Canis lupus familiaris: one gene and its partners. The protein of the gene in region 2 interacts with the protein of the main gene of each other region in a pairwise test. Links are inferred from orthologs where the notes say so. Each region holds a gene or a part of one and is shown on either strand. Other genes may lie near its edges.

Region 1 (10,151 bases), on a different chromosome or scaffold from region 2:
AGCTACCACCCCCCTGAAGCCAATATCTGGGCAGGTTAAGAACCCTTGTGTAGCTGCTAAGAATAAACTAAGATGGGACCAGCACTTTACCAGTTTGCCAAACACAGACTATGACCCTTGAATGACACAGGTGTTTTACAGAGAATGCACTGGTAAAGTGACTTATTAACTAACTGCGTGTTCCTGGGTGAGCAGCAGAGCTGAGGTGGTGACTCAGGCTTGTCTGGCTGGGAACTTACCCACTTCTAGTCACCCTGCCTCCAGCAAACAGGGCCAAAGGGCCTGGCCAGGTGCAGGGACGTGCCTGAAGGTCACTAGTGCATTAATAACTAACTAGCCCAAGAAGTCAGGCTTCCAGTACTTCTAGGGTTAAATCAGGCCCCAACTGTTGACACAGGCCTTCCCCTCCCTCTGTGGGTGCTTTACACTGAAAACTGGCTTTTCAGACACTGTGTACCTTCCTGTCCACCATCACACCCCCTCTCCAAGGCCAGAGAGCTGCTTGCAATTCACTCAGCCTCCGTAGGACTAGAAACTCTGTCCTCCAACGCAGGAGGGCGACCCTGTTCTGTGTGGTGTCCAGGTGGTACAATACCCTTAGCAAGCCCCCCATCACCCTCCAGGACACAAGCTGCCCAGCAAGGGGTTCCTACAGATCCCAGCAGGAGGGGTGGGGCTGCCGAGAACTGGTTCTTGTTTAAATATAAACCCATCTGATAATTAGCAAACAGTCCACTTCTAAAACAAACAAACAGTAGATTTGAACTCCATCCGCCCCACCCTGGACTCCTCCCTTTCCACCTTGCAGCTGTTGGGGGGAGGGAAGAGAGTGTTCCAGGGGGACTCGGAGTAGGATCTTCAATGGTACAGAACCAGCTGGCATCACTATCACTAAGAATGCAGCCTTCCTCCCAGGCACACACTGGGAACTTTACTGCAGGCTTGTCACCTCCTCCCAGCCTCCCCACAATGCCCAGGAAGCAGAGGCTGGGGGGCTGGGTGACATGCCCACAGCCATGTAGCTAGTTAGAGGTAGACTTCACACCTCTGCAAGTTAGGTCTGCCTAAGTCCCAAACCAATGTTCCACTGCTCTCCAGCCAGTTCCAGGAAGCAAGGAGAGGGCATCAGAAAAATCAGAGACTCCTGGGGTTCAACCATATCTGGACTGTACCAGCTTGACTCTGGGGGCTCAGAGCAGGGGCAGCTTCAGTTCTGCTTTAAGGGAAACAAAGCAACACCTGCTCTGCCCAGGCCCAAAGACCAATTCTGAAGACTGGCTGAATTCGCACCCTGTCAAAGCCCACCCACAGACAAGGCACTGAGAAGGTCTGGCGTCTAGTGCTGGCATTCCCTGTACACCCCCTCAAGGTCCAGGACGCTGAGATACTATCTCTAATAGGGTCTCAGAGGACATGGTAAAACTCTATAGAGCCCATTCCAACACCCCCACCAGAATCATCCTTCGGGCCAAGAGGTTGAAAGGAAATGGGTGACTCAGGCCAGCCACGGCTCTCCTCCAGTGACTCACAGGCCCTGTCCAGCCCCTTCCCCCAATTTTCAATGGTCATTTGGAAATCACACCCACCAATCCAGGAGGCTGAGAACAACTAGAAGCCAATTCCTCCCTAGAGGGAACTGGGGCGGGAAGCCCAGCCTGGCTCTCCCAGCTCCTCATTCAAGACGGCCCAGCACTCCAAGTCCTTGGAAATGCCCTCTGTTTCCAGGAGCTGGGGATGGCAGGAGCTGAATGTCTCCACCTCCCTGTACCCCACCCCCCAACTTGTCCTCTTGTTTAGAATCTTTACCAAAGGGGCCAAGAAAGCTCCCCTCCCCGCCATTGATGTGTTTTCAGGGCAGGCAGGATCCACGGAGGGGTTTAGTTCAAGGTGGGCTTATTATAGAGTTGGGGACACTGAGACCCAGAGATAGGGTACATTTACTCAAGGTCACCCTGCAGGTCAAAAGCAGAACTCAAAGTATCTGCCTTCAAAACCAGCCGATTTCCTCATCTGGAATGTCCTCTCAGGGTGCTCAAACCAGACACCTTGTATTATCAGAGAGACCTAGTCCTGACCTTGGCAAGCCACTATCTTCCCCTGAGCATCAGTTTCCTGTAAAAATGTAGATAATAGGGACGCCTGGGTGGCTCAGCGGTTGAGCACCTGCCTTGGGCTCAGGGTGTGATCCCAGGATTCTGGGATTGATAATCAAGTCAGCATCAGGCTCCCTGCGAGGAGCCTGCTTCTCCTTCTGCCTCTGCCTCTATGTCTCTGCCTCTCTCTAGGTCTCTCAGGAATAAATAAATAAAATCTTTAAAAAATAAACACGTAGAAAATAAAATCTACTTCACGGTATCCCTGGAAGACGTTCAGATTAGTGATAATAATCTCAACGCACCTTTTAGAATGAAGCTACATGCGAGTTTATTCATTCGTACAAACATTTCCTGAGGACTAACTGAGGAACAAGTATTTCACTGAAGATGAATAGAGCAGAAATTCCCCCCTCCCCTGCCCCAGGGGATGTGTGTGGGTGGAAGTGGTATGTGTGGTCGGGTTGGGGGATGGGGAGTGGGCATACGACTCAGATTTTGGTGGGATATATTTACTAATTCTCTCACAAACTAAGTCTCTTCAAGGGAGGCAATGCCTTAGATGTCGGGGGTTTCTACAATCTCTTCCAAAGAATAGGTATTTATTCATAGAATACTTGAGCCGAGAAGGGCTCTCAAGGTCATTTGTTTCAAACCGCATTTTACAGATGGGGTAATGTCAACCCCACAGAACCCTCTAAACCACGGCCCCAAATATCTTCCGTGGTGGTTCTCTGTGGCTTCTAAGAATTCCAAAGAGCTCTCACTGGCCACTCATGGGGTCCCAGACCCCCTATGCTCCTGCCCTATCCAACCTCAGTGCATTCAAGGAAAGAATTCTCAAGGAGACCAGAAACCTCTCTAAGCTAAAGTACACCTCCCCAGAACCCACGGGGCCTGGTGCCACATCAGGAGGCTGTGCCCCTGGGCGGCAACACTTCTGGGGGGGTCCAGCTCCCAAAACAAGGCTGTCTTTAATTGGCTAGGGAAGGAGTGGCAGGAAGGCAGTCAGGTAGACAGGAAGAACTGGTTTGGGATAGCAAGCCCTGCCAGGGAAGAGACTGGTTGCTCAGACTGGGTTCCCTTCCCAAAACTTCACCAAGCCCTCGTGGTGGGGATAGGATACCACCCAAGGGGAAGGCAGGCCTTTGGCTTACACCCAAAACTTGGGAAGGGCCTCACTAGCACTACTGGAGGGGGACCCTCAGATCCTTCATCCGGAAAGTGGGTATGATATAATCCCCACATGCTGGGCTTTCTGTGAGGATAAGACGCACCAGACCGGGCACCGGACCCGGCATGTGGAAAGCACCCCACAAATCATAACTGCCATTAGCTAATCCCTTCTCCAGTGGGCCTGTTTCCTCCACCTGTAAAAATCTACCCAACTATGACTAGGCCTGATTTTTCCGGCCACAATCCTGGCAGTAAGGGGACAGGGGAGGCAAAAGGGGAAGCCCTGTAACCCAATTCGAGGTGGAAGGTCTGTGACATACCTCAGGAAGGGGAGTGCTGAGGTCAGGATGAGGGAGACCAATACCTCTCTCCGGAAGCAGCTGCTCAAGGGCCAGCTTCTCCCTAGCTGATGATGGGTCACCATGTGTAGGGCTGACACAGCTGCCCTCCCCCAAACCATATCCTTCCGACTGCCCCCAGGACACAGCTGTCTGCTCCTCACCCTGAAGCACCTGCAGACTCAGCAGCCCCTCACCCGGGACTGCCATGTGACTCCCATGCAGTGATCTCCTAACCTCCTGGGGCTTTCTATTTCCCCCCACGCTACCCACAGGAGCCAACATGCATTCCTTTGGATGTCTCCCCAGCTGCTTGACTCCAACACATCTCTCAGGGTCTAGTTTAGAGCACTGCACCAGGGAGCAGCGGGTGTGAGCTGGAGTCCTGGCTCAGACATTAACTTTTCCATAAGGTTGCCCATAGTTTGGGGAAGTCGTCACCTCACCCTGGGCCCGTTTCCTTCTACCTCAGAATTTCTTGAGGCTGGCCAGCCCCAAATCTCAACAGATTCTAAACTCTTGAGTTACCTGAGGATGGGACACAAGGGCAGCCCCTCAGAAAGCATCAGACCACAGCTTATCATAAGAGCAGGAACTTGGGAGCCTGGCTGGCTAAATTTGAATGCCTCAGCCCCATATTAAGCTGTGTGGCCTTGGATAAATTAGCTAACCTCCTCAACCTCAGGACCAATTTAAGGTAAACAGCCGGGCTGTCAGAATTAAATCTAGTTGATAGGCCATTAGTTAGAACAGCCGTTAGAAAGCTATCAGAGGGATCCCTGGGTGGCGCAGCGGTTTGGCGCCTGCCTTTGGCCCAGGGCGCGATCCTGGAGACCCGGGATCGAATCCCACATCGGGCTCCCGGTGCATGGAGCCTGCTTCTCCCTCTGCCTGTGTCTCTGCCTCTCTCTCTCTAGCTGTGTCTCTATGAATAAATAAATAAAATCTTTAAAAAAAAAAAAAAAAAAGAAAGCTATCAGAACACCATAAGGCACACCATAATGTTTGCTATCATCACTGCTTGCCTTCAATTGTGCTGGCAGGTTATTCTCAGGGTCTCATGCATTCCTCAACAGAAGCCAGCCAGGCAGAAAGGACTTTCCTCCAAGCAAGCGCAGAGAAAAAGGAGCCCCATGAGGAATCCACAATGATAAAACTCCACAGACTTCCTCTAAAAGGGGAGGTGGGCTTAAGGCATGAAGGGGGCACAGGGCTGGGGTTCTTGGGGGGACAGATAGCCTCTCCCATCAATTCCTGCTCCCCCAACTTCCCAGATGGGGAAGCCACCCTCTTCCCCTGATGGTCGCTGGGATGAATGGAGCTTCTGGTGGCCTAGGGCTTTGTAAACTAGGACAGAGACCAGCGGGCGAGTGAGAAGAGCTTCTCGGTGCTCACTGTAGCCTTCCCTCCCCCAACCCCCTTTACTCCACTCCAGGTGGGTACTCCGATTTCCCGAGCGAGCGAGCGCAGTTCAGCAGAAATAAACAGAATTCTCGCAGAAAGCAGAGGTTCAACTCTTGGTGAAACGCTGGGCCCAGACCACCCCTCCCCGTCCGCCCTAGAAGGATCAGAGTCTCAACTTTGGAGGGACCCTAAAGAAGCACTGGTCATCTCCTGCTGCGCTCGCCCAGCCCCTGGGCAGATAGGGAAACTGACACTCAGAAGGGGGGCAGGGCCTTGCCCTGTCACCAGCCAGGGGTAGTGCTGGGGCCGGACCTGTGGTCAGGGCTCAGCTCCTCACTCCCGGGTGTGTGATACAGGCCCCGCACAAGCGTCCCCCTCCCCCTTCCGAGCACACGCCAGCCCCCTCGTCCCCAGGCCCAGTCGGATTCTAGAGCAGCCGCTGCGGGCGCTCACGGACGGCGAGCAGGGGGGTCCGCGACTCAGAGCCTGCCCCGGGGTCACCAGGGAAGGGCGCCAGTGTGGGGGGAGAAGAGGTGACACCGGCTTAGTCACGTCCGAGCCTGGAGCGCGCGGCGGGGCCGAGGCCAGGGGAGGCGGGAAGAGCAACAGGCTGGGGCGCACGTTCGCGCGGGGGAGCCGCCCCGGCCCGGAGCCTCCCCGTCACCCCGGAGCCAAGTTTCCAGCAAAGTTTCCCCAGCCCCGGCGTCTAGTTGGAGGCGGCGCGGCCCCCTGAGCGCCCCCCCCCATCTCAGGCCCCCAGGAACAAAGGAGGCAGCGGGCCGCCCCCGTCCCCCCCCGGATGCCCCGGCACCTACCGACTCCGCGGTGGCGGCGGGGGTGCCCACGACCAGCAGCAGCAGCAGCGCGAGCAGGCGGGCGGAGGCCATGGTACCGCGGTCCGCAGAGGGCGCGCAGGCGAGTGGCCCCGGCGGGCGTGCGGCCCCTCTTATAGGCGGTGACCGGCCCCGCCCCGGCCCCGCCCCGCCCCGCCGCCGCACCCCGCCCGGAATTCCCCGGCGAAAGCTGGGCCTCGGGGCGCTCCGGCCGCCCACGCGGCTGGAAACCCCGAGGGACCCGCCTGGCGCGCAGCCGCCCGCTCCAGATCCACCCCGAGTCCCTGTCCCATTTACTCTTTTGATGTCCTCCCAGGCAGGCCCCCGGAGATCCCTGCGTCTAACCTCGTTTTATACCTGGGGAAACTGAGGCCACGGACTCGCCCAGGGTCTTCCCTGGAGGCCGGCGCTCCCCAAACCCGCTACACTCCCCCCCCCCCCCCCCAGGGTACGGAACACATTCCAAATGGGACGTGAACGTGCATAGGCTTGAGGGGTCAGCAAACTTTCCCTGTAAAGAGCTAAATAGTTCAATCTTTGCGGGCCATTCGGTGTCTTGTCATACTTAAACTCCAGCTTCGTAGCTCGAAAGCAGCCACAAATACTTAAAAAAGAAAGAACGCGGCTGTGTTCTAATGAAACACTATTTATGGAACACTGAAATTTGTATTTCGTATAATTTTTAGGTGTCACGAAATATCCTTGTTTTGATTTTCTCCCTATTTAAAAATGTGCAAGCCATTTTTTAGCAGCAGGCTGAACAAAAACCAAGGGTACCCCCATCAGGGTAGACTTTTTGGTCTTACGATGGCTGACCTCTGTTTTAAGGGATTTCTTTTTCCAGGTTTTGAACTTCAGAAAAAGTTCCGTCTCTCAGAACTAGTCTGCGAGTCTATCCCAGATCTGCTCCCACCCTTTGTAAAAGAAAGTTGAGTTGGCCTTACCACTACACCCCCCCCCCCCCAAGCTGTAGGGAAGGGTTGGAGGTGGAAATCCTCTGGGGGTCTCCAGGTACAGATACTGTTAGAATTACTAGGAGGAAGCATCATATCAAAATTAATCAAAGTACCAAAGGTGACTAGACTGGTTTCTCACCCTGATTGATTTCTGTGTGTATCCTTCTAAGGCAGAGGTACGGCTTCATAACCAGGGTATTTTGGCCTCTGTCGGCAAACTGAATTCATATACTTTGCAGAGTAGAGAGTTGGGAGTGATTTCTCCTCTTCCCTCAATTATTAGCAAAAGGATGGAAAACCTCACGCTGGAGAGATCCTTGACTGTAAAGCAAGCTTCAAATGTGGATCCTATTTTTCCCCAGGGATTTAAAGGTAAGCAATTTTTTCCCCAATTTTTTTCGCCATACCCTTCCCTCGGATTGAGAAATATACTGAGAAAATGAGTGGATTTCACGTCAGTAAGATATTCTTTCGCAAGTCAGATGGTTTTTGCAATCTTTGCTTTCCACACAGTCCCAGGAGGGCCTAATATAGTTGTTAGTACATAGATCATTAAAATAATTTTTGATGATAGGTCACTATGCGTTTTTGGTTATCTGTCAACACATCGCTATAACAAAACTCCTTTTATTCCCACCAACTTCTTACAGCCAGTGGTGTGCTGATAAATGTTTAACAATAGGTTGGGGGAAGCAGGAAGTGCTAATTTGTACCATTTGTCAATTTCTGTGGTATAAATACTCCCACCTGATTTCAAATTCCCAGTGTGATGTCATTGAACACAGAGTTGGTTAGAGATGAGCAGTATTTCTACCACACATAGTGCAAAATAATAGGCGCAAATAATATCAAGACCATGGATAACAATAAGATCTAATGAAATAACTAGGAAGTCATGAGTCTTGAGTACAAAGTGTTTCCTTTGTTTCTAATATAGTTTATTTAATTATAAGTTTATATAATTTAATTTTTAGTAATGGCCATGTTCCCTAAAGTGCCTAGCCTCTGTGGGTGCCTAAATCACCCACAACAATTGAACCAGTACAATCTGACTCTGGCACCCACTGCTTGACAGCTATAAAAATTAAAAGTAGAAATAAAATTATTGCTAAAGTCTGTCTCATTCTTGCACAAGCAATATCCCTCCAGAGCCATGTGGACGAATGGAGAAGGAAACATTACTCAGTTTTACTTTTTTTGTTTAATAATTATTTATCAAAATTTGTAGAACTGGTTTCACCAGTGTATACATATGTCAAATTGCACACTTTAAATATATGTAGTTCATTTTATTTCAGTTTTATCTCCAAAACACCATTAAAAATGCTTTTAGGACTTCAAAAAACTGTAATATATTTAAACTGCTTTGATCAATTGTGTTTTTATGGGGATACCTGGGTGGCTCAGTGGTTGGGCGTTTGCCTTCGCCTCAGGGCGTGATCCCTGCTTCCTGGGATCCAGTCCCACATTGGGCTCCTTGCATGGAGCCTGCTTCTCCTTCCTCAGCCTGTGTCTCTGCCTCTCTCTCTGTGTCTCTCATGAATAAATAAAATCTTTTTAAAAAGATTGTGTTTTCATGATAATTGTAATGATAGAGAATTTGAATACCTAGTCGTAAGGTCGTGGAAGGTAAAATAATGATTCAATTTATGTAATTTTTTTAGGCAGAAAAGTATGATAGTGCTATCAATAAGCTATTTAAGCATTTAAGAATAATATTATTGGTTAGGTGCCTGGCTGGCTCAGTCTGTAGAGCATTCAACTTTTAATCTCAGGATCATGAGTTCAAGCTCCCTATGCTAGAGGGGTGAAAAAAAAAATTATGGTAAAATGTTTATGTGCTGAAACATGGAGTGGAAATTTGAGTTTGAATAGAAAAAAGAATGATGTGAAATTTCCATTAGAGAAGAGCCTATTCATGATTGATTGATTGATTGATTGATTTTAGTAATCTCTACACCCAAAATGGGGCTCAGACTCAGGACCCAGAGATCAAGGGTTGCATGCTCTACCCACCAAGCCAGCCAGGCACCCCCATTCATGTATTTTTTAAATGGATGGTTGTAGGTATCAAATTGTAGGTATTTAATTCAACTGTATATAATGAAAAGAATGCTATAAACATCTATTTTTGAGTGTATGAATTTATAATACATCAGAAATTGCAACCTTTGCAACTATTTAAACTCTTTATGAAAAAGGATTAGCAGTCAACTAAAAAAAGTGCCAGAAATACATAGTTGTTCAATGATCATTTGGAAAGCAGACTGACAAAAAGATTAAATACTACCAGGTTAGACACCAGAAGCTCTTCTATAAGAGAGCTTTCTATAAAAAAGCTATCTTATAGATAAAGCTATCCCAAGCTCCTGAAATGAAGGAATTAATTTCCCCTTCTCTGTGTTCTGAGAATCTCTCCGAAGGCATGAAACACGTTTGAATGTGGTTATTTGTAGATTTGTAGGGTTTTTCCCTGTTCTTCTTGAACTGGGGACAAGGGGAAACATGGATGATCATTACTTCCATATCCTATGTATCTCTATGCAAATTTCTGGGGCAAGAAACCTCAGATTCTCTCTTCCTGATCCCCAAGAGGTTAAAAACTATTTGAACAGACTCTGAGGCCTTTTAAAACGTCTTAATGGGTTCTTCTGTGACTCCTACAAAACAAAATGCTGTAATCAAAGGTGAACTGAATTGAAGTCCTCAATTCCCCTACATGAGACTGAAGTAAAATACAACAAAACAAAACAAAAACCAAGCAAGCAAACAAAACCCACCCAGGTATTGGGGCCAGAAATTCTTGATTAAAATCCTCTTTTCTGGCACTCACCAGTGAGAGGAAAGTTTAAAGATCACTTTGCTCCTCAGTGGGGGGATAAAAGACCTACCTCTTGGGGTAATTAGGAAGATGAAATAAAGTGAAGTTCTGGGTACTGAGTCCATGCCCCCTACATTCTGGCCCTTCCTTGGTTTTGCCCCTGAGATAGAGGGAGTCTGGAAGATGGCATGGGCCACGCACAGATCCTCCTGCCAGCTTCCTTTCGAGCACAGAAAAGTGATTCAGAGAGTCAGCAGGCAGCTCAAAAAGGAGCTGAGATCTGGCTTATAACTGGGGTAAAGCTGCCCCGTCCCTTTTCTCAGGCCTCCGAGGCCAAAGGTAATCAAGTCTGGGTGTACACCTGGCGCATCCAGAGACACCTAACCCAAGAAACTACAACTAATCCTTTCTGTAATGGCCCAGATCAAATGCCTCCGCTCCTGGAAGGCTTCTCAAAACCCTCTCACCTTTTCTTTCTAGCTTTCCTCTCTCCTTCTCCTGAGATCGCTGTCACTCCATCAGTCCCTCCC
Region 2 (9,996 bases):
TAGCTGGGTGGTTTGGCCATGTCTGGGGACACCTGTGGTTGTTACCCCTGGTGGGGGGACCCTTCTGGCTTGGAAAGGGTGTGGCCAGGGGTGCTACTGACCCACCACAGAGAGTGACCTGCCCCTAATGTCAGAAGGGCGCAGGGGGACACAGCCTACGTTGATTATTTGGAAAAACATTGAGTCTGACCCCTGCTCATGCTGGACACCAGAGTTTAAACCCCCAGGGGTCAGAGGATACAAACCAGGCGACTGCAGCATCTGTGAGTCGCCCCCACTCGGAGTGTGTAGTTAAGTGTGTGCGGCATCCCGGGACCTCAGGGGTCAGATGGTCACAGAGAGCAGTCTCCCGGGGGTCGGGAACCCCCTGACCGAGGTGGTCCCACCTGGGGGACATTCTGCTCCCTGCCTCAGGGCACACTGGACAAAGACCAGGGTTGCTGTTAGCACTCTGCACTGCACAGGACAGCTCCACCCCCGCCCCTCACACACACAGAGCAAGGAATGATCCAGGCCCTGATGGCGATGGAGCCAAGGCAGAGAAAAATCTAAAGTAGGTCATGAATCCTTGTAACAGCTGGTAAGGACACCCCTGTTACCCCGTTTTAGAGAAGAGGAAAGTGAGAGTATTGGCTGGGACTCTTAGAAGGGACGGAGAGCTCAGGCCTGGGGGAAGGGGCGTGGAACAGGCCTCAGGCAGAAATGGCTGGACCTGAGAGTCTCTCCAGGCCCTCGTCCTCCAGCCTGTCATCCTTGTGCCCGCCCCGGGCAGGCCCTGGGGGGCTCTGACTCCTTGGCTGTGAGTCACAGGGAGGGGCCGGGGCGGCAGAGAGGAGCCGCCAGGGTGGCAGGCAGTGCGGGGGAAGCTCAGGAAGCTCAGGAAGCGGGCAGTGAGGGAGTGATCAGGCCAGAGTGCTTCGATCCCGCGGGGCGGGGGACCCTCGGGGGGGGGGGGGGGACCCTCGGTGCAGAGGCCTTGAGGCTCCAAGGGCTGGGGGCGTGGGAGGGCAGAAAGGAGTGTGCCTTGGTCTTCTAGTTTTTTAAACCCTTGCCTCAGCAGTCTCCGTCACGCTCCCCCGCTCCCACCTTCACCACCTTCACCACCCGGACCAGGAGGGCAGGAAACTTCTGCCAAAGACGAGACTCCTTTCTCGGTCCGCTCTTCTGCGAGCGCCCCTCACCACCAGGCCCTGCAGTAGCTCCCCTCGTCCCACGCACCCGTACGTGTGCGCATGGCCCAGCGTGGGGGACCCACGGGAGGGGAAGGCCCGGAGCACACAGGCGGGGCTCCGGCTGTGCCACCTGTCGGGCCCTGTGACCCCCGCCAAGACCCTGAACACCTCCGTCTGGTTTGTACCGCGGTGCTTTCGGGCTGGGGAGTTGGCGGACGTGAGGGCTAGGTGGTGAACGCGTGGGTTTGTGGGGGCCGAGATCGGGGGTATCGTGTGAGCACTTAACGTGACTTAAGAATGTGAGATTCAGGGGGTGCCCTGGGTGGCTCAGCGGTTGAGCGTCTACCTTTGGCTCAGGGCGTGATCCGGGAGTCGGGGATCAAGTCCCGCATAGGGCTCCTGCGGGGGGCCTGTTTCTCCCTCTGCCTGTGTCTCTGCTTCTCTCCCTTTGCGTATCTCATGAATAAATAAGTAAAATATTTTTTAAAAAATCGAGATTCAGTCTCCGCAGGCAGCTGCCCAGACGTGACCCTCAAGGCCTGACTTAGAGCACAACATACAGGGTCCCGGGATTGTACATCTGACAGGAAGCACTTGGGCTCTGGGAAAAAGAAATAACTTTCTAATTGTAATAAAATACACGTAACGTAATGTACCATCTTAACCACCTCTAAGCGCACAGCTCAGGGCACGGAGCACACTCAACCCCGCTGTGCACCACCCCCACCACCGTCTCCAGAACCTTCCATCTCCCTACACGGAGACCCTGTCCCCAGGAAGCACTGACCCCTGCCCCACCCCTGGCTCCCACCACCTCCTCTCTGTGGACGGGCCTCCTCTGGGGACCTCCTGGGAGTAGGGTCCTGCAGGAGGTGTCCTTCTGGGTCTGGGTCCCCTCCCAGCACGGTGTCCTCGGGGTCCCTTCCTTCCTGGGGCTGGGTTGTGTCCCGGGTGTGGACGGGCTGCCCTGTGCTAACCCATGCGTGTGTTGACAGACACTGAGTTGTGTCTACTTTTCAGCTCTTGGAGATGATGTCGCTGCCAAAACAAACATCTAAAATGAAAACAGCTTGACGTTTCAGCGCGTGTCTGGTCTCCTTGGGTTTGGCGGTCAGCAGGCCGACTGGTGTGCTCTTGTACCCCCTCAGCTGGGGAGCAGGACTCACTTTTGGTGCTGTGCTTCCCCCAAAATGAGTGGGTTGTGATGGTTGATCTCTGTGGGCCCCCCGGTAGCCCCCAGGGACCTCTGGTCTGGGACCGCCTATTGTCATCTAGGCTCCGGCTCCACCTAATCACAGACCTTCCAGCTGTAGGCGGCTTTCTGGCCAAAGACGCATGTGTCCAGAAATGGGGAGCTCATTACCATCTTCAAGGAGCTTTAATTCCTCCCCCTGCTTACGGAACATGGGTTTGTTTTTTTTTTTTTAAGTTTTTCCTTTATAATTGAGGTATAAATCGTTTACCTTAAAGTATGGTGGTTTTTGGTATATTTACGCTTCTCTGAGTCCAGAACATTCCATCACCCCAAAAAGAAACTGTCTCCATAGCCTTCACCCCCATCCCCCCCGGCCCCCACGAGCCCCCTCCCCGTCCTGGACGTGTCACACACGTGGGCTCACACCCCGTGGGGCCTCCTGTGTCTGGTTCCTCCACTTGAAGAAGCAGCTGTCAAGGGACACAGATTCCCACGAAGCAGAGACCGAGCAGACGCGCCCAGTGGAGGCACCGTCTCGGTGTGGCGCTGGCCTGCGTGGGGAGCCTGGGGCCACATGACGGGCTCTCCCCGGCTTTGTTGAACCATCGTGGCTGGTAACAAGCTAACAAGAGTGCCAGCAGGAGCCCCGCTCCTTGTTTTCTGTGGGGGCACGGGCTGCTCACCCCCCTGCAGGCGTTTTGGGGAGACCGAGGTGCTGACTGCTGTGGGTTCCTTGGGCCGGCCGCTCCTCACAGGCCACGGTCCCCAACCTGTTGCTTTTGTCGGTGGGAGCGACCAGGGAGGTCGTGGTGTGGAGGGGATGACACAGTGTTGCGTGACGTGCCTGACCCATCATAGACCCTTAGGTAGCAGAACCCTCTTGCCCAGAATGTTCCAGACCAGGGCTCTCCCCTGGGCATGGCTGACACTGGAACTGATAGTTTTCCATTATGTGGGCGTCCTGGGAGCCGGGGGCTGAGCAACATCCCAGGTCCTCGTGGCCCAATGCCAGGAGCACCCCCATCGTGGTGACCACGGATGTCCCCAGACATGGCCCAGAGTCCCTGAGGCAGGGTCACTCCCGGCCTGGGAGTCCAGCACTTGGAGAGGGACCAAGAGCTGGCCTTCAGGCGGCCTGGAAGGGGCTCCGTGCCCCTGCACCTTTCGGGCTACTCTGGGCCCCTCCCCTCCCAGCTGTTTACCCCTCACTTACTCTTCAGATAGAGCTGGCCAGGCGAGGCGTCTGGGGGCTCAGGATGTGAAGTGTCTGCCTTTGGCTCGGGTCACCTGGGTCATGACCCCAGAGTCGGGGCGGGGGGGACGTCGGCTGCAGCCCCCTGCTTGTGCTCTTGTGCCCTCGTGTGTTTATGCTCTTTCTCTGTCAAATAAATAAAATCTTTAGAAAAGACCTGCCCAGGGCACTTAAAGTGGCTTCCTTGGGCCTGGGGCTCGTGCAGGCCTGGTGAGCCAGCACCCGGAGGTCCGGGGAGCCTGGAGCAGCAGGTGCCACCCGTGCCCTCGGTCTGTGCTCCTCACGGCCCTGGCTTGGCTCCACAGATCTTGAAAACCCCAGGGCATTGTCTCTTCCTGTTTGAAGATGGATAACAAGAAGCGTCTGGCCTACGCCATCATCCGGTTCCTGCACGACCAGCTCCGGCACGGGGGGCTCTCGTCCGACGCCCAGGAGAGCTTGGAAGGTACGTGTGGGCCCGCTGTCCTCCCTGCTTCCCGCCACACAGCCAGCCCCGTCACCTCAGGCCCAGCTTCCTGCAGGAGTTCTGGTGAGCTCCCCATATTTCATCAAGGTGTGGTTCCAGAACATTCTCCACCGTAGTCACACTGATCAGAGAAGAAAGGCTCATTTTAAAGAAAGGGTGGAATGGCCACAGCGCCTGGGAGCCGCACAGGGCTGGGGGACAGGATCCCAGGCTGGACCGGCACTTGAGTGGCCTCTGCCCGGACCCCGCCACCAGCCCCTTGGCGTCCACCTGGCTCGGCCTACAGTGACACAGTGGGAGTTGGCGGTTCGGCACCTGCCATGTGCCAGGCCTTTGACCTGGGTCTCACAGAGAGGGGACTCCCCAGAGCCCCAGAGTCTGGGCTGCATTCAGAAGAACATGCTTCTGTCCACCTCACAGTTGCAATCCAGTGCCTGGAGACTGCTTTTGGGGTGACAGTGGAAGACCATGACCTCGCCCTCCCTCAGACTCTGCCGGAAATATTTGAAGCAGCTGCTGCAGGCAAGGTGAGTTTCTGGGCTTCACAGGATAGGCGTAACAGCAGGAGTCGCCAGGGCCCCCAAGCACCCATGCAAGACCTGAGTTCTCCCCCAGGCTGCTTCCCGGCTGTGGACCAGGGAAGTGGGGGCCCGGCCCCGGCCTGAGGTGCTCTCCACAGTGCCTAGCTGCCCTCGGGTGGCCCCTGAGCAGGAGGGAGGCCGCGGGTGTGGGCTTTTTGGAGGAGGAGACGGTAGGGTTGCCCTCTGCCTGCAAACGACTTGTCTGCCTTGGGACAGGAGGTGCCGCAGGACCTGAGGAGCCCCGAGCGGACCCCGCCTTCAGAGGAGGACTCAGCCGAGGCAGAGCGCCTCAAAACCGAAGGTGAGCTGAGACTGCATCCCCACCAGGCACCTGACCCACCTGGCCTGCGGGGCGGCAGGGCCGGGGGGGCCCTGGGGTGCAGCTGTGGGAGGGGAGCCGGGCCCCTAAGCACGCAGCGCCAGCATGTGGGAGGATAAGCCCCGCGCTCGGCCCGCGGGGATGTATGCGGGGCAGCCGCCAGGGAAGGCATTCCCCGCAGCTCCCCGGTGGCCACACGGCGGGCACGTGGCCCAGCCAGTCCCCTCCCACACCCAGGACAAGTGCAGGCGTGTGTCCACAGCACCCAAAAGGTAGAACGGCCCAAATGTCCATAAACTGGTAAAGGGTGAACAAAACGTGATGTATCCATGTTCTGGAATGTCCCTTAGCCCACATGTACCACCCCAGGGACGGACCCTGAGCCCACGACGCTCAGGGAGGGAACCAGATACAGGAGGCCCCACAGGGTGTGAGTCCATGTGTGTGACACAGCCAGGACGGGCTCGCCCACGCACAGGGGAGGGGGCTCAGGGGCCAGGGGAGGGTGAGGAGTGACTGCTCATGGGGAGGGACTTTTTTGCGGGGGGAATGGAACGTTCTGGAATTAGGTTGTGGCGTTGGACACTTGTGAATTTCTAAAAGCCGCTGAGTCATTCACTTTGAAAACGTGAGTTTTACATTCAGATTACATTTCGTGAAAATTGGTTTCTTGTGAAAGAAGGAGCAAAGAGACTTATGTTTCCAAATGTCACGACCAAAGCAGTGACGGTCATCACCCAGTGCCGGCTCAGGCCAGAACCCAGATCCTCCTCCACACCCCAGCACCCCTGAGTGTTGCATCCTGGCCCCCCGGACCCTCCTCCCCAACGTCTTGCACCTTCAGGGAGAAGCCCGGGAGAGCTGGGCTGGACGTCTCGGCCCCTGGGATGTGACGTGAACAGCTGGGCATACGTTGTTTTTTCTTTCCCTTTAGGAAACGAGCAGATGAAGGTAGAAAACTTTGAAGCTGCCGTGCACTTCTATGGGAAAGCCATCGAGCTGAACCCGGCCAACGCCGTCTACTTCTGTAACAGGTAGCGGCTGGGCGCGCTCGGGGAGGTGTTGACACTGTAATCATTCATCCAGCGCCCAGATAAGCAGCCAGCAGCCTGTGGCCAGCAAGGCGTCAACAGGAGCTGATCGTGGCATTAAAATCAAAGTTAGGGACACCATTCTGCACAGGTGTTGGGTGAGGACGCAAGCCAAACCACGGGTGACCATATCGCGCCTGCGCTCACGGTGGCATTACTGCTGGCCATGGGGAGCCCCGTGTGGCTGGTGCTTTAAGGGAAAGTTGCCTCAGCCTCCCAGAGCCTCCCAGTACGGACCGCCGAGCTGACGACAGGGCCTGAGAGGGAGGTGGGACAAGGGTCGCCCTCCAGGGCACAAGCCAGGGCCCCGGCGTTGGATAGCCCAGGTCGGGTGCGCAGAGCTGCTCTTGTCTTAGTTTCTTTCCTCTGACTCTGGGGCGAAACACAAACACACTGACAGAAAAGTTGCACGCGTAGCACAGAGAACGCCGTCCACCCTCCACTCGCACAGCGCCCAGCGCTGAGTACTGCTCAGCCCTGCTGCCTTTCTGGGGGAAACGTAAAGTGGGATGTTAAAAACTGAAAGAGAAACCATCTGGCGTGGTAAGCTGAGTGCTGGGACGGGTCTCCCTGTGAATCCGAGTCCCTGTCTGATGGCAGGTGTTCCCTGGGGGTGCCTGGGCCGCTCAGGCAGTGTGGTGTCTGCCTTTGGCTCAGGGCGTGATCCCAGGGCCCTGGGATCAAGTCCAACGTTGGGCTCCTGGCTTAGCAGGGAGTCTGCTGCTTCCTCTCCCTCCCCTCCCCCTGCTCCTTCTCTTTGTCTCTCAAATCTTAAAAAAAAAAAGTAATAGATGTTCCCTAACGTAAAGCAAGCACCGGCTCCCAACGGTGGGGAGACCCTGGGTGCCGAGCCCGTTGACTTGGGTTCAGACTGGTCTCGTCACACCTGGGTGCTCTGCAGCGTCATCAGGACGAGCTGCCTCCATCTCCCCAGGAGGCTATCCCAGCTCCCACCACGGGTACTTGGCGGACAGAAGCCCTGGGCAGCCCAGTGTCCCGCCGCCCACCTGCCAGATGGGGAGACTGAGGCTCCTCCATGGCAGCGAGTGAGGGCCGCAGCTTTGCCCACCCTGCTTTGTGTCCCCAGAGCTGCGGCCTACAGCAAGCTCGGGAACTACACGGGTGCCGTTCAGGACTGCGAGCGAGCCATCTGCATAGACCCGTCCTACAGCAAAGCCTACGGCAGGATGGGGTGAGTGTCGCGAGGGGCCACACGGTCCCTGCCTTCCTGGTCCCCCCTCCCCTGCAGACAGCCCATGCCCCTTTCCTATTTGGGCTGCTTTCCACACGCCCAGCTCCGTCACCAGCTGACCTCCAGCAGTTCCCTTCCGTCTAGATGGACGGTCAGGACTTGGCCCCACGCGGATGCCAGTCATAAAGCTGGGCCTCCCCCGCGCCCCCCAACTGCTCTGAATCAGGGTTCCCACTTCCCTGTGTCTTGTGCTTCCGTGATGTGCTGGAGCAGCTCACGGCCTCAGGGCAGGGTCCAGGAAGGTCCTCGGCGCAGATCCCTGTCTCCCTAGAGTGGGGTGTGATGCTGTCACCAAAGGGGACGTCCACATGTCATCGTTCAGGAGTCTTACAGCCCGCTCTCCAGCCTTCTCCCCTCCCAGAGGTTTGGGGTTGCCAGGTCCCCACTCAAATCCCAGCCTTGGTCTTCCTGGCCACCAGCCCCATCCTGAGTCACCTCACGGACAGGAACTCGGGTGTAATCAAAGGGGCTCATTATAGAAACCACAGGAGGGATCCCTGGGTGGCGCAGCGGTTTGGCACCTGCCTTTGGCCCAGGGCGCGATCCTGGAGACCCGGGATCGAATCCCACGTCAGGCTCCCGGTGCATGGAGCCTGCTTCTCCCTCTGCCTATGTCTCTGCCTCTCTCTCTCTCTCTGTGTGTGACTATCATAAATAAATAAAAAAAAAATAAACTAGAGGTATTAAATTTAAAAAAAAAAAAATTTAGAAACCACAGGAGACCTCTGTGACTTAGGAAGTTTTGCGTCTTAGGAGCTCTGTGCCGAGAACAGGGCCAGCGTGTCTGACCCCCTGCCCTCTGCCTCTGAGCCCTTCCTCTGGGCCTTCCAGCCCATCCTCTCAGCCCCCGCCACCCTGGCGTGCCGTCCCTGGCAGACGCTAGGCCCGGTGGCGCTGGAGCAGTTGGGGCGTGGCGGGTGGGCAGCCCCCGGGCCCTCTCCCATGTCCTGGTGTCTCCCCCCAGCCTTGCTCTCTCCAGTTTGAACAAGCACACCGAGGCCGTGGCATACTACAAGAAGGCCTTGGAGCTGGATCCTGAGAACGAGACTTACAAGTCAAACCTCAAGATAGCCGAGCTGAAGCTGAGAGAGACGCCGAGTCCCGTGAGCGGCCCGGGAGGGAGCAGGGGAGCGTGGGCCGGCGCCTTTGTTGTGGTGTCTGTGGGGAGGGGCGGGTGAGGCCGGGGATGTGGGGTTAGGACAGGCCAGGCGAGCAGTCTCTGCAGAGTCTGGGGCACGGGGTCCGACTGGCTGTCGAGTACCTGGCTCTGGGCGGTCAGGGCAGAGGGCGGCGGCTGTGAGCATGAGATGCTGATGGAGGAAGGCTGGGTGTGTGGGCTGTGGACTCACTGGCCTGCGTGCTAAAGGTGGACTGGTGGTGTCCGGCGTTGGTCACCCCTGAGGCCCTCCAGGGGCCCAAGGCATCAGAGCGTTACAAAATACTTCTCCTAAGGGATCAACGGGGTGGCCTGGGCCTTTGGCAAACACTAGCCGCAAGGCCTGGCCGCTCAGTTGGGAGGGCGTCTGGGCCGTATGCGTCTTGGGACTCCAGCCGGCCCCCTGTGGGATCTTCTGGGGCCCAGTGTCATGGTCCTGTGGCCACTCACCAGGGCTCTTCTCATCCCCACAGACGGGAGGCGTCGGCAGCTTTGACATCGCCGGCCTGCTCAACAACCCCAGCTTCATGAGCATGGTAACCTGCGCTCCCATCTCCCGCGGGCTCTGGGCCCACCACCCGGGGCTGTGTCTGCCTGTGAGGGCCGGGGCTGCCGGCCTGGGCGGGGTTGGACACTGGGCCCGGCCGTTCCTTAGGGTTGTGACCGGGGCATCTGAGGGGCTGAGCAGCATCCCCAACCCCACCCTCTCGACGCCAGGAGCTCCCCCCGTGTGACCACCACCTAGGTCCCCAGACACTGCCATGCCCCGGGGGCAGCACTGAGCACGAAGGACAGCTGGATCCTGCCTCTCCCCACCCAATAACCCGGGAAACCGCATCCGTCTCTCCAGCTCGGTCTCCTCCTCATGCTGTGGAGACCCTGACGGCAGCACACCCCACCTGCTTCCCAGGGTTCGGGTGGACGCCACCACCTTCTGACGCCAGAGACTTAAGGCCAGAAGCACTTGTTCTGTGCGGGGCGCCCAGCTGTGAGCCTCGGGCTGGTCGCTGCACACCCATGGCCGTTGATGGGGGTCTTGCTCACCGCAGGCCACACTGCTGGCTCACGGGGCCTCGGTCCAGGGTCTCCAAGCATCAGGACGAGAGAAATCCCCAGCCTTCTGGCCGCAGAAATACCCTCAGGGCAGCAGGGAGCGTCTTGTCTCCTAAGTCGGTAGAGGCCGCACTTGGTCCGCAGGCAGGATGGCTGGCCGGGCATGGCAAGGGGCCAGTGCGGTCCGGCAGGGCTCACACCTCACCCGCGTCTGGGGTTGGCAGACCAGCGGGGTTTGTAGTTGCGTTGGCACCCAGGTGTGCGTCCGTGGTGACGCCAGTTGGGCGGGCGGGGCAGAGGCTGGCCCAGCAAGCAGAGAACCTCGATGCTGGTGCCTAAAAGTTAGCCGGCCCCCGTGAGCCACGCCAGGCAGGCCCCTCTTCATCCCGCTTGGCCGCTTCCTGAAACGTCATGGGGCGGGGGGGTGCGTGACGTTCAAGCACAAGCGTCTGTCGCAGC
Region 3 (10,045 bases), on a different chromosome or scaffold from region 2:
ATTCTAAATTCATGGCTGGTGTTTAAATAGAAAAATGTGTCCCTGCCTGGAGAAGCTACACCAATGACAGTCCTCTAGTGATCATAGCCAGGGTAATAAATCGCAATCAAGTCTCCAGGCTTTGGGCTGTCTTGGATAAACAGACCAGGGGATAAAGAACAAGGAAGATATATAGACTAAGCCGCAACTTCCCCAAACGGGCTCTGGTATTCCTGGGGTGAACACAGGCAGGGCCAATGGCATAGTTTAAGAGGAGACTGGAGCCCAGGGAAATGCCCTCTGAGAGATGCAGAGTAGAAGGGTTTGCCCAGGTATATGTGTGTGTACCGTGTGTGTACTCAGTTGACTATGCGTGCGGGGGAGGTCTGCTCTCTTTCCGTGCATAGGCGTGGGCAAGCACGTTCAATGAGTCAGAGCATTAGGCATAACCCAGCAGAATTAAGAATTAGCTATTTCCCCTTCCTTCTTTTCAGACTGACCCTCAGGGCCCTAACATGGTCCCCCTGCTCACTGTGTCCCTGGCCACATGACAAGGATTTCCTTCCTCAGATTCCTCTCCAGTCTCAGGACACTCATCACTAGGAGCTGACACTCTGAAAGATTAATGGTACCAGAAAAAGCCTCTCTTCCTCATCCATTAGGTAACTGCAAATCCCAGAACATATTTGGCAGTGGGGAAACGGGTACAGGTTGGAGGGAACCCTGAATTCCCAGAGGAAAATCCTGACGATGGGGTGTATTACACTGTTCCAGAGAGGAGTGATCAATGTTCTCCTCAAGATATTTTTGGCTCCAAGATACAAGATTAAATGAAAAGTTCCTTAAAGGACCCAATTTTGCTTTCTACATACCATTATCTATTAAAGGAATCAGGCTCCTTAGAAAAATAACTGATTTCCAGCATAAGGGACAGGAAAGTAGAAACTGAATGTGGATTATTTTGCTCTGCCAGAATGTAAATGTTATAGGTTGAATCTGTCCCCACAGAATTCATGTGTTGTAGCCCAACCTCTAGCACCGCACAATATATTTGGAGATAGGGTATTTAAGGGGTAATTAAATTAAAATGAGATCATATGTGTGAGTCCTAACCCAACTGGTGTCCTTATAAGAAGAGATTAGGACATAGACACACACAGAGGGGAGATCATATGAAGACTCGGGAAGAAAGCAGCCACCTACAAGCCAAGGGCAGAAGCCTCAGAAGAAACAGACCCTGCTGGCACCTGGACTTGAACCTCTCGCCCCCAGAATCATGAGAAAATAAAATATTCTTACTTAAGCCAGCTAGTCTGTGTTATTTGCCGCGGCAGGCCTAGCAAACTCTATGTTCAAAATATATCAAGAATCAAATCACTTCTTGCTACTTGGTTGTCCGAAATACAACCAGCTGCTCTTGGTTGCTCCCACTTGTACTCCAAAGCCATTCTCAATACAGGAATTAGAGGTAGTCTAGGAATCAGCACAAGTCATGTCACTGTCATGCTCCACCCGCCAGTGGATTCCACTTAATTCAGAACAAAAATCAACACCCTACGCCATGTAGATAGGGCTCGGGTTACCCTTGGCTGTTTTCTCCTGCGACTCAATTCCCAGATCCAGAAACCTTGGCAGACATGTGCAGCCACAGGGCCTTTGCAATGGCTGCTCCGTTCACTTCCTGCCTCCTTGAGTGCGTTGCTCAAAAGTCACTTGTCCAGTGAAGCTGTTCCTTCCTACATAGGAGACCTAAAATTAAAATTGCACCTCCCATCATCTCTATCCCCTTTCTATTCTCCATTTTTCTCAGCATTTGACCATCTAACATAATATCTACCTTATGATACTTCTGTCCATCTCTCCAACAAGAAAGTATGATCCACAGTGGCATAGATTTTTATCAGTGTTGTTCACTGATGGATGTCTGACTTCCTACTGCAGTGCTTGGCACGTGGTAGGACCTCAGTGGGTACCTGGTGGCTACAGGTTTAAGATGAGGTTGCACCATGTGCTGAGCATCGCACGAGTAAGTTATCTCAGTGTTAGACTTCAAGATGACCGCTTGCCCTTGCTCCCTGAGAGAGCAGCCCCAACCTCAACGACCAGCACCACCTCCCTTTTCCCCCAGATGCCTTCCCTCACCTACTCTCCAGTTGTCATGGGAGGTTATGTTCTGATGTCTTACCACCTCGAATGGGAAAGGCCCTAGCAGTATCCATGGCAAAATGAGGTATATATGTGCTTCTCAACTAAGGAGAAAGGGCCTGGGATTGAAAGAAGACATACATGTCACAGGAAGATAAAAAAGTAAATGTTGGGGCACCTGGGTGGCTCAGTGGTTGAGCATCTGCTTTTAGCTCAGGGCGTGATCCCGGGATCCTAGGATCGAATGCCCCCTTGGGGTGTCCACAGGGAGCCTGCCTCTCCCTCTGCCTATGTCTCTGCCTTTGTGTGTGTGTGTGTGTGTGTGTGTGTGTGTGTGTGTGTGTCTCATAAATGAATATATAAAATCTTAAAAGAAAAAAAAAGAAAGAAAAGAAAAAGTAAATATCTGGTAAACAAATTTCCTGGACTACCTAGTGACAGTGGTACATAAAGGACTTTGATCCCACAGACCTTAACTGGGTTCCTCCCTATTTACCATAACTAGTTCATAATACAGTGTGGTTATGTAGGTGGTAGTTATCTTCCTAGAGCAGAACTCCTAATCAATTCTTTTAGGCATTTGTGAGAGAAGTAAAGAACCAAGGGAGACGGCCTCCAGGGGCTGTAAAGCTCTAGTAGGACTAGCTCCATCTTGATTTAATTTTGCCCTGAATATTTCTCCCTCCCTTGTCATTCCACAGTAGACCTGTTTGAACGCTGTAAGCCTGTTGGGGAACTAGCTGACCTTATAGGTTTTGTTTTTTTTAAATTTTTAAATTTCATTTTTAAAAAAGATTTTATTTATTTATTCATGAGAAGAGACACAGAGAAACATAGGCAGAGGGAGCAGCAGTCTCCCTGTGTGGTGCCCTGTGCAGGACTCGATCCCAGGACCCAAGGATCACGACCTGAGCCAAAGGCAGGCACTCAACCACTGAGCCACCCAGGTGGCCCTGTCCTTAGGTTTCATAGGAATCCTCAATTAAGGCAGAACACATTGCACAAACAAACTAATGATCATATTCTTGCACATCACCCCATAAGCACATGATAAGCTAGTAATCAATTCTGCTTAAAATTTCTCAGGAGGGCAGCCCCAGTGGCTCAGCGGTTTAGTGCCACCTTCAGTCCAGAGCGTAATCCTAAAGATCCGGGATCGAGTCCCATGTCGGGCTCCCTGCATGGAGCCTGCTCCTCCCTCTCCTTGGCGTCTCTGGCTGTCTGTGTGTGTGTGTGTGTGTGTCTCTCATTAATAAATAAAATCTTTAAAAAAAAATCTCTCAGGAAACTTGAAGAACCTGACGCTCGATCACTGAAGACATGTGGTGGATTACTCTAGCCCTCGTGGCACTGTAGCTGGTTTCTTTTTTCATTCCTGTTCCCCTTTAAAAGCCCTTCCTGCAGGGAGATGGGACAGTGGTGTTTTAGGACATGAGTCCACCGTCTTCTCAGTGAGCGGGCTTTCTCGAATAAAATCGCTTTCCTTGTCCCAACTCTTTGTCTCCCTCATCATATTGGCCTGTCGTGCAACGAGCGGGTGGGACCCAGGTTCAATCACAAGCCACAGCAATTCTATGTTTTGAGGTAGGTAATCACAGACCTTCCATTTAGAGTGACTGTTCAGTCTCCCTTTAAAAACTGTTTCTCGGGATCCCTGGGTGGCTCATCGGTTTAGTGCCTGCTTTTGGGCCAGGGCGTGATCCTGGAGTCCTGGAATCGGGTCCCACGTCGGGCTCCCTGCATGGAGCCTGCTTCTCCCTCTGCCTGTGTCTCTGCCTCTCTCTCTGTCTCTCATGAGTAAATAAATAAAAAATCTTTAAAAACAAACAAACAAACAAAACTGTTTCTGTGGTGCCTGGGTGGCTCAGTTGGTTAAGCATCTGAGTGTTGGCCTCAGATCAGGTCTTGGTCTCAGGATCCTGAGTTTGAGCCTGGTGCTGGGCTCCACCCTGGGCCTAATGCTTACTTTACTAAGAAAAGTAGCTTTACATAGCATCGAAAAGGAAAGTGAAAGCAAAACTTTCAACTTCAATAAAAGTTGGTGCACAAGCAGCACACAGCAGACAGCACCATGACTGAGGTAAGTGTCCCTGACTTTCTACCTAGGGCTCTCCAGGGGTGGGGGGGCCCCTTCCTATAAAGGCCTCAGTCTGGGTTCCTGGCCTTGGGCACAGTTAACTCCAAAGTTTGGAAAAGCTTCAGAAGGAGGTTCTGGAAGACTCTTTGTAGTTTAAAAGTCCCTCTTTAAAAGCCCCTGCTGGGCTGTGAGGGCTTTGGGTCCAGGGAGCCTCCTCGCTCCATCTGGCTCAGCCGGGGCCCAAGGGCCTCCGGGGGTAGGAGCTGTGGTGGCAGGGGGCTCTGTCTCCTGAGCTGGGAAGCATCTGGGGCGTGGGTGAAGGGCGGGGGGTCCCAGGACTTGGGAGGTGAGTGGATCCCCGCTGGGCCTGGCTCCCTGGCTCCAGATGGACTTCGGCGCCTGCTCAGCTCTGTCCTCCTCTCCCTCTTGCTCCATGGCACTTGGCCTGCCCTGTGAAGTCGGCTTGAATTTCAGCTTTCTGACGCGGACTCCCTTCCTGACCTCTATGGTGTCCAGATTCCCACACAGCCCAGGCAGGCCTAGGCAGGGCTCGGTGGCGGGCGTACAGCTGAAGGGGAACAAGTAGAATTCAGGCAATTCAGGGCAATGAGATCATTCCAGAAGGAGCGGCCTTTGTTGCCTGGGCAACCATCTCCTTATCCAGGCACGGCCCAAGTTCACATTGGATCTGCTGGCAGCTCCTATGCGCGTGGTGTCTGGGCTTGACCTTATCACAGGTGGAATCCAGAGTGCAAAACCCCCTTTTGATTCCAGCGTGGAGGCCACCCTTGGACCAGCCGTGCCCTGGCTGAGAGAGGGGAGGCCCTGGCCCTGGGTCCCAGCCCTGCTGGTCCTCCAGCCTCTCTTCCATGGAGATTCCCTTGGCCCCCATTCTAGGCCAGGCCCTCACTGGTTCCCAGAGAGGAAGGAGGCAAGGGGCACCACACAGGATCCCGCCCCACTGGAGCTCCAAACCCAGAAGAGGTGCAGGCAGGCAGGGAAAGTCCCGGCACAACATGATCTGTGCAGAGGGGGTGGCTGCCCCAGGACCTGGGGACCCAGAGAGGGCAGCTGAGCCAGGCGGGCCTGATGGCAGCTTCTCAGAGAGGACTTTCTGGTGTGGATGAGAAGAGGAAGGGAGCGGGTGGGGAAGGGGACTGGGGGCAGAGACAGCCAGGTGTGCAGGGGAGCAGAGGCAGGAGCCAGCTGTGTGGTGAGAAGGGCAAGCCTGGCAGCCTGTGGAGCAGAGGGCAGGGAGGGTGAGGAGGGCCTGTGAGTGGCCCACAGAGCAGGCCCCATGCCCTGAGGCCAGATGTGCTCTGTGGGAAAGCCACGGTGGGTCCTGGGGAGACCAGATGTGGGGGAGAAGGGACAGGAGGCCAGGATAGGAGTGGGGCCTATGGTCAAGAGGCCTTAGGGTCAGGACACCTTGCTGGCTAAGTCAGAAAAACATGTGACCCTTGATCTCAGGGTCATGAGTTCAAGCCTCACATTGGGTATGGAGATTACTAGAATAAAGTAAAAAAAAAAAAAAAAAAAAAACACAGGAAAAAGAGGGTGAGGGTCTCAGAGACAGGGTTGGGGGCTGCCCTGAAACGAATCACAGTGTGAGAGATGTTTGAGGAGGAGAATTAAGGAGAAACTCCTGGATTCTACATTGGTGGATGGATATTGGCACAAAGAAGAGGGCCGGGGTACACAGGCCCCAGGTCTCCCATGAGGTGGCCTGCAATCAGAGATAGAGGGTTGTGGGCTGAGAGCTGGCTCAGAAAGGGAAGAAATTGAAACATTCTCAAAGCAGAAGCCATGGCAGCCTGGGGGGGAGGGCACAAGCCCTCCATGTGCGTGCTGTGACCGTCCCCATGGGTCCAGATGCTAGCTGGCCCCACAGAGTCTCAGGTTTCCTTAGGATGCTGTCAGCTCCTGCCTCTCAGGTTGCCATCTCCGAGGGTGGGTGTCTTGAGGCTGGCGGGGACAGAGTCCAGGGAGGAACAGGTGCCTGTGTGGCCATGGACAACCAGGGCCAAGAGGTGGGATGAGGACCTGAATGTCAGTCTGAGAAGAGGAGAGAAGGTGGTGACTCCCCTGCCCGACTGCTGACGATGGGTTCGGGGCTCCCAATCTCAGTGAAGGGGTTTTCATGCAGGGAGTCACGTCAACACTCTCAGGAGCAGCCGTGCAATGAACCTGAACGTGCACATTCACATCCTCCTCGGTGTGCCTATGAGTATCCACAACACGCACACACACACACACACAGACACACACACACACAATATGCAACACACACAGATATGCATGTAATCAGAACACAACACACATAGAACACACATGCACAACACGTACATATATATTCATGTGTGCTACTGCACTGCAGCCCATACCACATGTACACAAGCACATACATACATGATAATGTGGGCACACTGAACAAATCCCCACTCTCCTATTCCACAAGGTCCTTTTATCCAGACTTCAGCCCCCAGTTTGGGGAAGCTCTAAAAGTGACAGAAGGCTGAGGACCTCACAGAGGCCAGGAGTTCCCTCCCACTCCAGGCTCTCATCAGGTGATGAACATCAGCAAGGGGGTCCCCAGGCCAAGCTGCAGGGTCCCAGGAGGGCTCTCAACTGTTACCTAGAGGCTTCCTACACCATCTTGGGTTTTTCTGTTGCAGTTTCATCAAGAACCCAGGCCTGGAGACCTGATTGAGATTTTCCGCATTGGCTATGAGCACTGGGCCATCTATGTGGGAGGCGGTTATGTGATCCATCTGACTCCCCCAAGTAAGAGCTGTTGGAAATATAATTTTTCAAAATATTTGTTACCAGATTGAGAATAATTGGAGGAAAGAGCTGAGCAAGGGAAACCAGAGTTGGTTTCTCCCTGAGCAATGCTTGAGCAGATCCTATATCCATATCCCACTGCGTAATTGAGTGGGATCCCATAGATCCAGGGGCAGGGAAGTCAAACAGAATGCCCATTCCACGGACAGGAAGGGAATGAGAAGCCTTTGATTGCTGGGATCCAGCTCATGGGTCACTGGAGGTCACATCTTCAAGATGAAACCCCCAACACCCATATTTTGATTACCCAAATGGACATAATATGTACCTCGAAAGTTAAAAGGTGATGAAGTAATACATGGAAAGTAGCAGTGTGTGAAACACAGTCAATAGTAAAATAAATTTGTTCTCTTCGCGAAATGTATAAGCGCACAAAAATGAACAAATAGTAAATGTTTGACTATCACTGGTCATAATGGCAAAAATTTTAAAGACCTAAGTGTTCAATAATAGGGCTTGGTCAAATAAACGATCTATATTCATGTGACGAAATTACAATGACATTGCCATAAGCAATCATGACATTCACTGACTTGAAAAAGTATTCACAGCTTGTTAAATAAAGATCTAGGAATCCTCCAATCACCTATGTGAAAAGACAAACAGTGACACTCCAGCAGTGTCCTCCTTGCTCCTCTTTTTCATCCTGCCTCTCTTCTCTCCCTGTCTCACCTTCCCCTGCAACCCACCCCCATGACCATGACCATATCTCTGACTCCAGGTGAGTACCCTGGGGCCGGCTCCAGCAGCGTCTTCTCTGTGCTGAGCAACAGAGCCGTGGTGAGACGGGACCGCCTGCAGGATGTGGTGGGGAACTGCCGCTATAGGGTCAACAATCACTTGGACCACAAATACACACCAAGGCCTGTGAATGAGATCATCTACTCTGCAAAGCAGAAGATTGGTCAGGAGATGCCATACAGTCTTCTGAGCAGAAACTGTGAGCATTTTGTCACCAACCTGAGATATGGTGAACCCCACAGCAGGCAGGTAAGGCCCTCTGAGGTGATCCCTCTCCCTCCTGAATGTCTCCTGGGGTGTCTAAGCTGGGCAGCGAAAGGGGAGAATCATTATGACCCACATGCTGGAATCAAGATGTCTGAGCTCAAATCTTCAATCAGATTTTGATCCACTGGGGGTCGTTGGACAGGTCACTCCCTCCCTGGGCCTCAGTTTCCCCACGTGTAGGAGGAGGAGTTGAATGGAGGACCTCGGGAGGCCTGCCAGTCTGACCTTCTAGGATCCTGCAGCTTGAATACCCACCCTAAAGGCAGCTCCTAATGCTCCCAAAGCGTGTTGGGAAAAGTCAGGGCCAAGCCAACCGCATAACAGGTCTCCTAAGGCCCCAGAGAGCCCTCAGCCAAGGGATGCTCAAGGTCATGAGCCTGTGTAAGAGCTCAAGGATATATTTATGGAAGATCTGGGGCTCAGCTCCACTCCCACCTCTTCAGTCTTCCATGTGTTGTCCCCAAAATGCACAGCTAGTTATTGGCAGAGGCAGGATTCCAACCCCAGCTGTCCTTCTCTAGAGTCTGCTCCTTACCGCTGTACAGCAGCAGGCCTAATAATTTAAAGTATCGCATCACTACTGCTCCTAGTTGGGCCATTTATTTAAGAACTCATAAAGAGCACCTCTGTGCTTGGCAGAGCTGGGTGCGGGGGATGCAGTGAGGAACAAGACAAGTGACACAGGTGAGGTCCTTGCTCTTCCCGGAGTCACAGTAGTGACCTAGTTTGGGAGCAGTTCCTGGGCCACCTCACACTTGCTTCAAGGGCTCCCCAATGGCCAGACAGGATGTCAGCCATCCGGGCTTCATCTCCTCGTCCATTCCACTACTATCCCCAGGGACTTGTGTTCTTTAAATACTTGCAGGGCTCCAGGCCCAGGTGATTGGGTGGACAGAGGCTTCTGGATGAGATGAGGGTGAGGATGGGAGGACCAGGCTTGCGGAGGGAAACCAAGAATTTGGAGGTAGTTGGTGATGGGTGGCCTTTAGACCTCCAGGTGACGATGGTGAGTAGCAGTTGGACCTAGGAGTCTGGAGTTGAGAGAGGAGCTGGGGCTGGAGGTAGACGTTTCCATGCTGCAGTTCACAGTGCATAATGAAGTCAAAGTATGCTCCCTTGGCCATGGTGTCCAGAGGTCTCTCCTCAGCTTCTGCCAATCCCCCTCCCTCCCTGGGGGTGTAGCCTAGACAGCAGAGCAGTTCCCAGGTTCAGGAGAGAGCTCTGTTCTCCTAGGAAACCAAGCACAAACCCTCTTCCTTCCCCAGTCTGAGTCAGGAACTAATGAGGTCACCCAGCAAACTCACACAAAAGGATCCCATCAGCCCAGACAAGCCCACCACTAAGAGGTCTTCACCACTAAGAGAATATAGGTCTCCCTGGAAATGGGGCCACGAGGACTCAGCAAGTATCTTCCCTGGGAGAGAACTCTGGGCTGGCAGCTCAGGGGGAAGGAGAATCGGGTGTGGCCTCCAGGCCCTTGGAAGAGAGGGAGAATCTGCCTGTACTTGCTGTGTGTGTGAATGCTGACCGTGGGTTACTCACTTTCAGGTGACAAATGTCCTGATTGGAGGAGGGGCAACCCTGGGAATTGGCTTCATTGCTGTTCTTGGATACTCTCTTTTAAAGCGGCGATCCCAAAACCAGTGACAGCCTGAAGGAGCCACAAATCCTGCATCTGGGCACATCAATGGAGACACCTCACGGCTCTTCTGTCTGCTGGACCCTTGCCCTCAGGCAACCTTGGTTCTGTTTCTCCCCTTCCCTCACTCACTGGCTGAAGGATGGGCTAATTGTATCAAAACCAAAGAATCAATCAGTAAGTGTATCTTAAGAAAGGAATTCCAGGGATCCCTGGGTGGCGCAGCGGTTTGGCGCCTGCCTTTGGCCCAGGGCGCGATCCTGGAGACCCGGGATCGAATCCCACATCGGGCTCCCGGTGCATGGAGCCTGCTTCTCCCTCTGTCTGTGTCTCTGCCTCTCTCTCTCTCTGCG

What was found.
Region 1: the proteins of SGTA (region 2) and SDC4 interact in binary tests that used the Homo sapiens proteins (3 or more experiments, as listed by UniProt). The two-hybrid records come from large-scale screens. The link is inferred for Canis lupus familiaris from reciprocal best matches to the Homo sapiens genes SGTA and SDC4.
Region 3: the proteins of SGTA (region 2) and PLAAT4 interact in binary tests that used the Homo sapiens proteins (3 or more experiments, as listed by UniProt). The two-hybrid records come from large-scale screens. The link is inferred for Canis lupus familiaris from reciprocal best matches to the Homo sapiens genes SGTA and PLAAT4.

The regions. Positions count from the first base shown.
Region 1 is NC_049245.1:33,274,299-33,284,449, forward strand, and holds the start of SDC4 (syndecan-4), read right to left. Parts: upstream 5,961-10,151; 5' UTR 5,899-5,960; coding exon 5,827-5,898; intron 1-5,826. UniProt on the Homo sapiens protein: Cell surface proteoglycan which regulates exosome biogenesis in concert with SDCBP and PDCD6IP.
Region 2 is NC_049241.1:56,909,522-56,919,517, forward strand, and holds the start of SGTA (small glutamine-rich tetratricopeptide repeat-containing protein alpha), read left to right. Parts: upstream 1-3,964; coding exon 3,965-4,064; intron 4,065-4,505; coding exon 4,506-4,612; intron 4,613-4,882; coding exon 4,883-4,967; intron 4,968-5,919; coding exon 5,920-6,019; intron 6,020-7,163; coding exon 7,164-7,268; intron 7,269-8,292; coding exon 8,293-8,431; intron 8,432-8,957; coding exon 8,958-9,020; intron 9,021-9,996. UniProt on the Homo sapiens protein: Co-chaperone that binds misfolded and hydrophobic patches-containing client proteins in the cytosol. Mediates their targeting to the endoplasmic reticulum but also regulates their sorting to the proteasome when targeting fails.
Region 3 is NC_049239.1:53,927,685-53,937,729, reverse strand, and holds PLAAT4 (phospholipase A and acyltransferase 4), read left to right. Parts: upstream 1-4,085; 5' UTR 4,086-4,195; coding exon 4,196-4,204; intron 4,205-6,876; coding exon 6,877-6,985; intron 6,986-7,766; coding exon 7,767-8,035; intron 8,036-9,601; coding exon 9,602-9,700; 3' UTR 9,701-9,892; downstream 9,893-10,045. UniProt on the Homo sapiens protein: Exhibits both phospholipase A1/2 and acyltransferase activities. Shows phospholipase A1 (PLA1) and A2 (PLA2), catalyzing the calcium-independent release of fatty acids from the sn-1 or sn-2 position of glycerophospholipids.